3 linked regions of the Danio rerio genome follow. The protein of the gene in region 1 interacts with the protein of each later gene in a pairwise test. Links are inferred from orthologs where the notes say so. Each region holds a gene or a part of one and is shown in the gene's direction. Other genes may lie near its edges. The genes, in order: bag4, unkl and alg13.

What was found.
Region 2: the proteins of bag4 (region 1) and unkl interact in binary tests that used the Homo sapiens proteins (3 or more experiments, as listed by UniProt). The link is inferred for Danio rerio from reciprocal best matches to the Homo sapiens genes BAG4 and UNKL.
Region 3: the proteins of bag4 (region 1) and alg13 interact in binary tests that used the Homo sapiens proteins (3 or more experiments, as listed by UniProt). The link is inferred for Danio rerio from reciprocal best matches to the Homo sapiens genes BAG4 and ALG13.

The regions. Positions count from the first base shown.
Region 1 is NC_133183.1:54,288,808-54,291,652, reverse strand, and holds the end of bag4 (BAG family molecular chaperone regulator 4), read left to right. Parts: intron 1-1,335; coding exon 1,336-1,821; 3' UTR 1,822-2,270; downstream 2,271-2,845. UniProt on the Homo sapiens protein: Inhibits the chaperone activity of HSP70/HSC70 by promoting substrate release. Prevents constitutive TNFRSF1A signaling. Negative regulator of PRKN translocation to damaged mitochondria.
Region 2 is NC_133178.1:44,939,928-44,943,587, forward strand, and holds part of unkl (putative E3 ubiquitin-protein ligase UNKL), read left to right. Parts: coding exon 1-67; intron 68-1,687; coding exon 1,688-1,805; intron 1,806-1,892; coding exon 1,893-1,977; intron 1,978-3,660. UniProt on the Homo sapiens protein: May participate in a protein complex showing an E3 ligase activity regulated by RAC1. Ubiquitination is directed towards itself and possibly other substrates, such as SMARCD2/BAF60b. Intrinsic E3 ligase activity has not been proven.
Region 3 is NC_133196.1:37,973,696-37,978,112, reverse strand, and holds the start of alg13 (putative bifunctional UDP-N-acetylglucosamine transferase and deubiquitinase ALG13), read left to right. Parts: upstream 1-1,506; 5' UTR 1,507-1,646; coding exon 1,647-1,766; intron 1,767-1,958; coding exon 1,959-2,042; intron 2,043-2,137; coding exon 2,138-2,188; intron 2,189-2,409; coding exon 2,410-2,456; intron 2,457-2,646; coding exon 2,647-2,719; intron 2,720-3,395; coding exon 3,396-3,477; intron 3,478-3,620; coding exon 3,621-3,783; intron 3,784-4,417. UniProt on the Homo sapiens protein: Catalytic subunit of the UDP-N-acetylglucosamine transferase complex that operates in the biosynthetic pathway of dolichol-linked oligosaccharides, the glycan precursors employed in protein asparagine (N)-glycosylation.

The DNA.
Region 1 (2,845 bases):
CCTCGTCGGTTAGTAGCCTAAGGCTATATTTCATTGAACAACAATTAATCTATCAGGCTCTTTGGCTAAAAATAGAGAAATTACGGTTTGATTTGTCATTATTAGATTATTTTTAAATGTCACCTCTCCTGCTGAGCATGAGCTAAGCTGTTGAATGGTTAGCATATGAGGCGGTTAGGCTAAGCTAGCTTCAATTTTGATTGATTTATTCTCTAACCGGTTGCTTATTATGTGGTGAATATACCCGTAATGCATACTGCAGTCTTTTTTTGTCTGGCTTTCTCGGATATCTCACCTATTCGACAAAAATGACATTATATACCTGGCAATGTCTGAAACCGGCGCACACACATTGAAAAAGCTGTGCCAGGCACAAAAGCTTGACAGGCGTAGCAACAATAACTAAGGAGGGCGGGGCTTAGCGAAGGGTCCATTGTTGATATAAAGATTGCTAAAACTGAACTGTAAAAATTACTTAAAATAATTACATTTACAGGAGAGTGTAGGTGTAGGAGGTGACTGTTTTTCTTTCTGAAATCATTTCAAGTTTAAATGTTGGGACATTCAAAGAGAGAATAGGGCATAGGGTGGATAACTGACAATAGAGTACAACCAGGGACTATGTTTTTAACTACAGCTCCAGATGTGTAATTCAAATGCACATGTTTGTGATGTAGTTTGTGAATGTTCATTGGAATGATAGATTTGGGAAACAACAAATAAATGAACTATTATTGTAATGTTGGATCTTTCGACCTTGGTTGGCTAACAATAGTTTTTGGAAATGTACCCGAGTAGTGTTTTTTTTTTTTTTTTTTTTATGAAATAAATAATGAATTGTGTTGTTTATCACTGACACATCCAAAAATGTAATTAACTAAGAAAAAAAATTGTTGCATGTAGTAAATGGAAAATAATTAATAATTGTCTTTTTCTCACAAAAACATGTGACTTTATTAACAAACTAGTATTTAAAGGGTTACAATTCAGGAAACTAATGAATATTTGGTAATATTATTGTGATCTTAAGTTAAAGTGGAAAATATTAATATATAATATGTTTGTTTTTTAAGGACATTGACATTCTTTGTCCACTTTTAGGCTGATGAATTACATTTTTTTATTTTTTATTTTTGATTGATTGACTAAATTTTTTTTACAAAACCACTAACAATATTATAACAATACTAACACATATAACACTATAAATGGTTATTTATATAATTATATACATATAATTTAAAACTATAACAACCACTAACAATGGCAAAATAAAATAGAAAAAATGGGGTGTTTGTCTAAAATTTATTTATGAAATTACTCTCTCCCCTTTAGGATCCACCATATCAAAGTCAGCCTCATATGCAACCTAAAAACCAGCCTGCAGGCTCCAGACCACGTGTGAGCACACCAAACTCATCTGCGCTTCCACCCAAACCCACCCAGTTCAGCAGTCCACCTCAAATCTACAAGACTTCCTCTGGCGTTGGAGGACTCGAACCCAAACCTGCCCAAAATGAACAACCTCCTATGTCTTCCCCTCCAGCGTCGTCCATGCCAGCTCCACTAAAAGATAATTCCAGCCTGGCTCGAGTTCAGCAGATTTTGGCCCGAGTTCAGCTTCTTCAAGAGGATGTGGATGAGTTTGTGGGAAAAAAGACAGACAAGAGCTACCGATGCCTGGAGGAACTGTTGACAAAAGAGCTGCTTGAGTTGGACTCTGTGGAGACCTACGGGCAGGACGTTGTTAGACAGGCTCGCAAAGAGGCTGTTCGGAGGATCCAGGCCATCTTGGAATGTCTTGAGAAAAAGGCGTTCTAATAACAGGGTGGATTGATGATGATTTCTTTTTTTATGGTCTTTCCTCATGATTGCAGATTAGGATGTTCACATTTTGCCAGTTTGTTGGATTACATTTTTTGTTGTTTTTGGATTGTGTAGCCCAAATGGTGGTAATGTTTTTTTTCTAGTAATACAGGCACAAAATACAGTCACTGCAGTGCCATACTCGAAACCAGACATTTGCCATTCAACAACAAGAAGCAGTGATCTACTCGGAGGTTTCCTTGTGTAACACCTTTCGGTTTATTGAGTCTACATAGACTAAAGGGATACAACAGAGTTTTTTTGTTGCACATCTTCAAGAATGAAGACTCCACTCATTTTACTTTTGAAATTTAGTTTATTACTGCTATTACACCAATCCATTCTTGATATTATTGTAAAATAACTTTATAACTTAATAAAGACAGTCATTTTTTAATAACTCATAATTCAGTTTCACATATTCATCATTTTACTTCATTCAGTCAACTTTTTCATGAAAGGTGTGATCATATTGGCAGCAAGAAACGTCTATTCTCCACTTTTAGTAGTTGAACAAAACAACCCTCACATTGAAATAAACGCGTGTATCTGCATGAAAAACTTCTGAAATATGTGTGAGGTAGAATTGCAGATCTGTTGAAATGATTGGATTGTGACAAAATCTTATGCGATTACATACAACTCATGGTCTGTCTTCAAAACTCACAGCCTAGACCAGGGGTCTCAAACTCTTGGCCCGCCCTCTTCCTTCCTTCAGCCTGCAACTTACATCTAAAATATAGCGAGATTCAGCCCTCCAAAACATGTTGAACCACTATCATTTAGTATGTTTACATGGACACCACATCAATTTAATCCGACTAAGGTCATAATTGAACTAAAGAGAAATCAAAGACGTGGAGTATGCCACATTATTGAAGTGCTGTACAGACATGTACACCTTAATCCAGGGTTTTTCAAAGTCTAAGGGTGCTTTCACACCTACACTTTTGTTTCGGAACGTATCTCGTTTGCCCAG
Region 2 (3,660 bases), on another chromosome or scaffold:
GCTATGCTTGTCCCCACTATCACAACAGCAGAGATAGAAGAAGAAATCCCAGAAAGTTCAAATACAGGTGAGAAGGAATGGAAATAGATTTTTAAATAAAACAGTAGTCAAAATATGGACTCTTTTCACAAGCATGTTATTACGCATTTACAGTCATCAGCATGTTAAATCCTTAAAAAAATTTAAATTTAGATTTTTTCTTAAAACGTATGAACATTTATATGTATTCACATATGCATTATATCATCTTTGCATGATATCATCTATATCATCAAATGACAAAAAACTAATTACCGCTTGTGCGAGACGTTTCTAATGCAGCGTCTATGGGACTGGACAGTAAATTTGACGTTATTATTTCTTATGGCTGCCATCATCACAATTTTTTTTTACCTTTTTCTGAAAGTCTTTATGACATCATCACAGAGTTTTTCTTTTATTATTTAAGCAAATAAGATTGCAAAAAAAGGACTTGCTCTACTCTCCCATTCACTGCGCTCTAAGTTTTGCCAACTATGAAGACTTCCGCTGCTGAGAAACTCGGAAATGTGAAAAGGGTCTATTTTGAGGTGGAAGTGACACTACTTGACATTATTTGCTCTTTTTGTAGCTCCTGTACTTATATTTGATTGTAATGCAGTAATGTGCACCTTTTGTATTGAATTATTTGTAAAAACTTGAATAATTTGATGTCAGTTTTTTTTTCTGTTAAAATATGCATGCTTTTTTCACTGACCAACAATTTTTTAAAGGATGCTGACATTATTGAATCAGCACTTTCTTCAGTGGCTTAATTTTCTGCACAAATAAAAAAAAAAAAAAGAAAATTGTTAAAATTTGTTAATATTGTGTTATGTTAAAGGGTCACCCCAAAATTTATGATTTACTCACCCTCAAATGGATCCAAACCTTCGAGTTTCTTTTTTTCTGTTGAACACTTAAGAAGATATTATGGAGAAAGCTGAAAACCTGTAACCATTGACTTTCATAATAGGAAAACAAATACTATGGCAGTCAACGGTTACAGTTTTCTAGCTTTCTTTTAAAATTTTTCTTTTTGTTCAACAGAAGAAAGGTTTGGAACTACTTGAGGTTGAGTTAATAGTGAGTCAAGTTTCTTTTTTCTTTCTAAACTGTCTGTTTAACTAAAACAAACGTAACAATCTAATGGAACCAAATATTCATTTAATGTTATTATGTTAGAAATAACATTAAATTAACATAATAAAGGTATTATGTTCAAATAATTGTTTAAATAATATTTTTTTCACAGTGTTAATAGCTTCTATATTTAAAAAGCTATATAATTCTACATAGATGGGCTCTGTAGCATCTAAAAGATTGAAATCTCCTGCCTTATTTACGTACTAACATGGATATTTTGGGTTTACTCCATGATAGAGTACATAGCAACTGTAGCATCATTTTTCATTGTGACCAAAAAATATATAGGCAACAAGATAAGTAAAATAGCGTAACTAGAATATTTTAAGGCTGAAGAAACTTGATTATCATTCGTCAGTATGACACCCATAGCAGCATAAAGGGCTCTTTTACCAAAATGTAATTGTCAAAAATGTATTTTCTATTTTAGTTTTTGGCTAAATGAGGAAAAAATGTTTACAAATGTTTTTGATTTATCAGTTTTTAAAACCCAAAACTTATTCACTGTTAAATGTGATGGCAGATCGACGCCCTGCCCGAGTGTGAAGCATGGAGATGAATGGGGCGAACCCTCCAAATGTGAGAGTGGAGACAGCTGCCAGTACTGCCACTCTCGCACCGAACAGCAGTTCCACCCAGAGGTCAGGCTCACACACACCTGTACAACACTCTCCTTCAATGACTGACTTCTTCTTTTTAATCTCAATAACTTCCTTCTCTCTTTTAAGATTTACAAGTCAACTAAATGCAATGACATGAGGCAAACCGGATACTGTCCAAGGGGCCCGTTCTGTGCTTTTGCACATGTGGAAAGTAAGCATGTTCACAATGATGATCGGTTTCAATATTTTGGTGTGTTGTCAGGGTTCAGTGCTAAGGATTTTTTCTACTGGTGCGATCGGGCCAATGATTCAGATTTGTACTTGCCCTGGCAATATTTTCACTGGCTCCACCAAAAAAAAGAGAGAAGTTAATAGCTATTTTTGCCACATATTTTAAATAATCTGTCAAAAAATAATCTAGAATTTGTGAATTTAATAATCTAGAAAATGTGAATCTAGAATTTAAGTTATTTAAAAAATGTTAATAAATGTTTAATGAGCAAAATTTGAATGTGTTATGCAAACAAATAGAGCAGTATGGAAAATATGCAGGTATTTTATTGCAGTTCGAAATTAATTAACAAAATCACTTATCATATTGACGGCAAATTGTGCAAAACATCACTTAATTTTTTTTGTTGTGTTGTATCCACGGTAATGTCTGCTTCCAAGACGTTAGAAACAGTCATTTCTTTTATCCTCATAATTTGATGTTGCCGCCATGTTGCCTTCACTTCACTATAATGGTTGTTACCAGGTTACAGAAAAAAAATGCATGCTTAAAACATCAAATCAGATGAGAGAAACCAAAAAGCAATATGGTGTTTACGACATCACAGAAAAGGTAGCATTTAAAGATTTATAAAAACAAACTTAAAATGCACGAAATTGACAAATAGTCACAGGGTTCCTGGTCATAAGGGCAGTACTTATTGTTGAGCCCTGGTTGTAGTCCAATACCTGAAGCACTGTAATTCCGTTTTATTCATGTGTGGCTATGAGATTGATTCAAATAAAACAGACGTCTTGAAGAATTAATCAGAGAGAAGGCGCTATATTTTTTGACACAGTTTTCTATGCTTTCTGATTGAATGACTTGGCTCACAGTATGATGCTGTTTCCCACTAATGTAATTAACATTTTCAAAAGAACATGAGTCCATTTCTGTAAGCAGAAATATGAGAAATGTCCAACATACTTGGGTGCGCACTAAAGGTTAAAGCCACCTAGGAATACTATGCACGAACCATCTTCACACATTTGTAAAGAACAGCACTTTAAAACGATGTGTGCATCTTCATAAATACGTACTATGCACACACTTTGTTTTCATGTAAATGAACAGACACAATGAATAAAAAGTTTCCAAATTTCTTTTTCTCAAACATTAAAACCAGTTCTATTGTTTGGAAATGAAATGAAGCGATAAACACTAGGGCTGCACGATATTGAAAAAATCTGCTAGTGCAATAGTTTGTTTTTCTGTGATAAATATTGTGATATGAATACTGTTTTACAAGATAATTTGAATAGCTCTAGTTGACAGTTTTCTTGGTCATCTAACAGTATGCATTTACAGAAACTTGTTTCCATTTGAAATTTTAAACAATGATTAGTGCAAGTAATAATTGTTTTGTTTTCACCATCAGAATAAATAAGTAACAATTAAGATAAATAATCTGGTTTTCACTTTGAAAATGTAGATATTTGGACGAAAAACAGAACAAAAATTCTACACTGTAAGACCCAAAAAAGTTAAAGTGACTCAAACCATTTGAGGAAACCGATTGCAGCAAATCAAATAAGTTAAAAATCTAACCCCAATGAGTACTGTGAACGTAATCCATTTGAGTAAATGAAGCAATTTGAGCACAGTAAAACCCAATGAACGAAG
Region 3 (4,417 bases), on another chromosome or scaffold:
TGTGTGTGTGTGTGTGTGTGTGTGTGTGTGTGTGTGTGTGTGTGTGTGCGTGTGTGTGAATTCTAAACAATTTCTTCCAATGATTACCTGATGATTGCATCACATAAAAAAGTCAGACAGTGTAGGTTATTCAAAGCTGACCACAGAGCTGCATTACAAATACACAAATGAATAGAAGATCTATTATAAGAGACAAATGCAATCTGTTTCTTACTCAAGGCTGTTTTGTGTACTCGCAGCTTACATACAAAACAATTAACCCAAGTCCACTCAAGATGTCTTCATGTCTTCATGACCTTTGACCTGGCTTGGTAGATCCTGTGGAAGCGAATAATTTGGCATACAGAAAAAGCAAACACACATATTATTAAAGATTTACTCTGAAGAGGGATCAAACTAAGGTCATAATATCATATAGAGCCTTAAACATTCAACTTTATTAATCATAATCATAAATCATTATCATAAAGACACAAGAAATTATAGGGGAGTGCAGGATACAATGTAACAACTCCTTAAGTTATTTGCTCATGGTTAACCATGGCATGCTTCCGAGGTTTTCACCACAGTATTGGCAGACATCTTCCAGCCAATTATTGAAAAAGTTTGGCAGGAAAAACCAATTTGCAGTTTTGCAGCATAAAAGTGTTTTCTTTTATACTTAATATATTTTTTATTTTTAAAAGATCTGTGAAAGTATGTATGTAAAATCTTACATTGTTTTGATTACCGTCTTCTAGGCTAAAACATGAAACCATTTTAAAAGATGTAAAAAAAAAAACAGTGACTGCTAGCCATTTTTTAGGAAAACACGACACAGGGGGATTATTTGTATAACAAATAAGCTACACGTACACCCCTGATTAATAAAGGGACTAAGCCGAAAATGAATGAATGAATGTATGAATGAATGAATAAATGAAAAAGCAAACACACACATATTATTCCTGTTTTACTCTCAAGGGGGATGGTAATATTAATCTAGGCCCTGAAACATTTAGCTTTATCAATAATCATAAAGACATAGGAAATTATATGTGTTACTCCATCCTAGAGTGGAAATTCATCAGAAAACCCACACCTTTAATAGACAGACAGACAGACAGAAAGACAGATTGACTGACAGATAGATAGATAGATAGATAGATAGATAGATAGATAGATAGATAGATAGATAGATAGATAGATAGATAGATAGATAGATAGATAGATAGATAGATAGATAGATAGATAGATAGATAGATATATAGATTTTAGTTTTTTTAAGCAAAGAGCTAAATATGTTAGAAGATATGTCTCTAAGTCATGTGTTCTAAATGGTTGTAGCTTTAAGGCTCAATGGGGAGTTAGAATCAAATAGTCGTCTTACAAACCATAAGAGTAATTTTAAAGTGTCACTATACGTGGAACTCTAACTTAAACATCTTAAGTAGCTAGTGTTGTCATGGAAACTGCAATATGTCCTGTATGTTCCTGCATAAAGTGGCGCCAAAAGAGCAATGCAGTACAATCAGAGGTCATTTGTTGCACCTGTTGCATTTTCAAGCCCGAAAGGAAACTTTCGACCTTCACAGTTTTTTTCGCTTTTAGACGGAAAGCCGTGAAGCTCTGTATATGCGTTGTTTTTTATTTATCATTTCTTGAGGATGCAAAAAGCCTTGAAGAAGTATTTTGTAAGCATGGACGAGTACCTGGCCAGCATTGGACTATACCGAAAAATGATGGCGAGAGATGCGTCTTGTCTTTTTCGAGCTGTTTCTGAGCAGGTAATTTGAAAATAAATATTCCTCAAAATGTGACCAAATCTCGAAATTGTTGTGTCATATTCCGAAGTTTCTTGACAATGGTGTATGACAAATTTTGTGAGTTTGACGAAACGTGTAACTTACGACAATCTTAATGAACCACCTGTATCGTTTTGACCGTGCTACTGAACTGGCGTTTAAATTTGTTTTAAGCTTTATTACTCTCAGAATTACCATCAAAGAATACGAAAGGAGTGTGTCAACTTCATAAGGGCGAACAGATGCAACTTTGAACCTGTAAGTACATTCAAACTGATTTTTTTTTAGAGACTGCACAAACTTTTAACTGTATGTAAACGCTCATAACCCTGTGGTATTACCGTGTTTTTCAGTTTGTTGAAGGATCTTTTGAGAAGTATTTAGAACGCTTGGAAGATCCCAAGGTTTGTATTCAGGGAATTTTCTTGTTGTTTTCACTTAAATGTTAACAGTATGTCTTATTGTTGGTAAATGGTTAAAATGTTTATTACAACCAGAATAAAAGCCAATGATCAAAGATGTAAACAGTCAGTTTTTAAAACAATATTTTTTGTAAATTCTACGAAAGGTGTTTAAGGCTTAAGTGTTAAGGTCTTACTGTGGTGTAATATCTCAAATTTCATAGGAAACCGTAGGTCAAGTGATAATAAAGGCACTGTCTTTACTGTACAGGTATGGTTTACATCTCTTCCCCACATTTTGCTAAAATAGTTTATTCTACAAGTAAATTTTTTATCTTCTCTAACTTTTGCTTTATTTTTTGCAATACATCTGAGCTATTTAAATGTAAATTTAAAATGTAATTGCATTAAAAGAATGTTATTTTGGGTCCACATTCTCATGTGGTTGGTTTTCGGCGCAGGCGGTGCTTTGTCATTTACAGGTATCCAGGTAAGCCACCAACTGAGATTGCAGAGGAAGACAATTTGCCTAAGGTAAGCAATTATAAAACGCCCTCTGTTTTCGTTCAGAGTTTTGCATTTATTCCCACTATTCTGGCTAAAAGCTGAAACTACAGTTTCAGTGTCACTGAAATTACTCTTTAGGGGTCTCATGGTCTTTCAATTCAATTCAGCTTTATTGGCATGCTTTTTCAAATATAACACAATGTGGCCAAAGCTTTAACATTTTATTTATTTATTCATTCATTTTCCTTCGGCTTAGTACCTTTATCCGCCACAGCGGAATGAACCGCCAGCATATGTTTTACACAGCGAATGCCCTTTCAGCTGCATCCTAGCACTGGGAAACATCCATACACTCTCATTCACACACATACACTATGGCCAAAACAGTTTATTCAATTCACCTATACCACATGTCTTTGGACTGTGGGGGATCCGGAGCACCCGAAGAAAACCCTCGCAAACACTGGGAGAAAATGTAAACTACACAGAAATGCCAACTAACCCTGCCGGGACTCGAACCAGTGACCTTCCTGCTGTGAGGCGATTATGCTAACCACTGAGCTACTGTTCTGCCACGCATGCATTTTATTTATCTATTTATTGCTTATACATTACTTGATTACTGGTAATTGTCTATAGCATGCGTTATTGTTTTAAACTTATGTATGGTTTTACATTCATCATTATTCATTAAATCCAACAGATTTTACTGTGTTGCTCAAACAATGGCCACTATGACATTGTTTACCCAAAGAGCTATCCAGTAGATGCTGCAGTATGTCAGGGTAAGTTAGCAGTTCATCATATCTCAGTTATAATATCTCTTGTGTGATCACTTTCTGAATAGTTCCTAACTAGAAAGATTTTGCTATTGATTTTTTTATATTTGATTGATACATTTTAGTACTAGTATTTTCATTTCTTTCAGCCTTGCTGTATGAACTGTTGTACACTCGTGTTCTGGGAGTTGAGGAGGATGAAATACAGGCAGCACTGGAGGGATTCAAAGGAGGGGGACGACGATACCGAAACAGCCATTCTATGTGCAGCGAAGACGCAAGTTATGATACCCCAGAAGATCGTTCTCAGAGGTCTTCCCTCATTTACTTGTCTTTTTAGCACTATTCAGTTTTCATTTTCAATTTTACTGTGACTGCTCCAGTACCTATTCACTTACCATTCATTTTACAGAAAACAGCAGCTTAGACAATTTGCCTAATATTATAAAATTTTTTTTTTTTTGATCAAAACATTTTCAGAAGTAGCCTATACAACTTGTATGATTTATATTACATGGAATATAATACTTTGTAAAGAAATTACATTTTTTAAAACCAAAATAATTGCTTATAAAAATATAAATCTATTGTATCAAAATAATTGCATCTTTAAATATTACAGACCACGAAACTGTGAACGGCGATTGGTTTTTTTTTTTTTTTTTTTTTTCAAAAGAGCAGCTACTGTATTAGTAGCTTGTAGTTAAATTTACGGGTAGTGAAAAGTATCTTCTCCAACACTGCTGCTGTCCATGAACAAACCACAATAGTAATATGTTTGGTCAAAATTGAGTTTGAGAAGGGCTAAAATGGACTTTTTGACATCCGTCTTGTGACTAAGTCTCTTCAATTTTGTCCCATTTGAGAGAAACCAAACCATTAATCACATGTTAGAATAGCTGGTGTAAAAACTTTAATGCGCTTAATGCACACAGATTTGAATTTT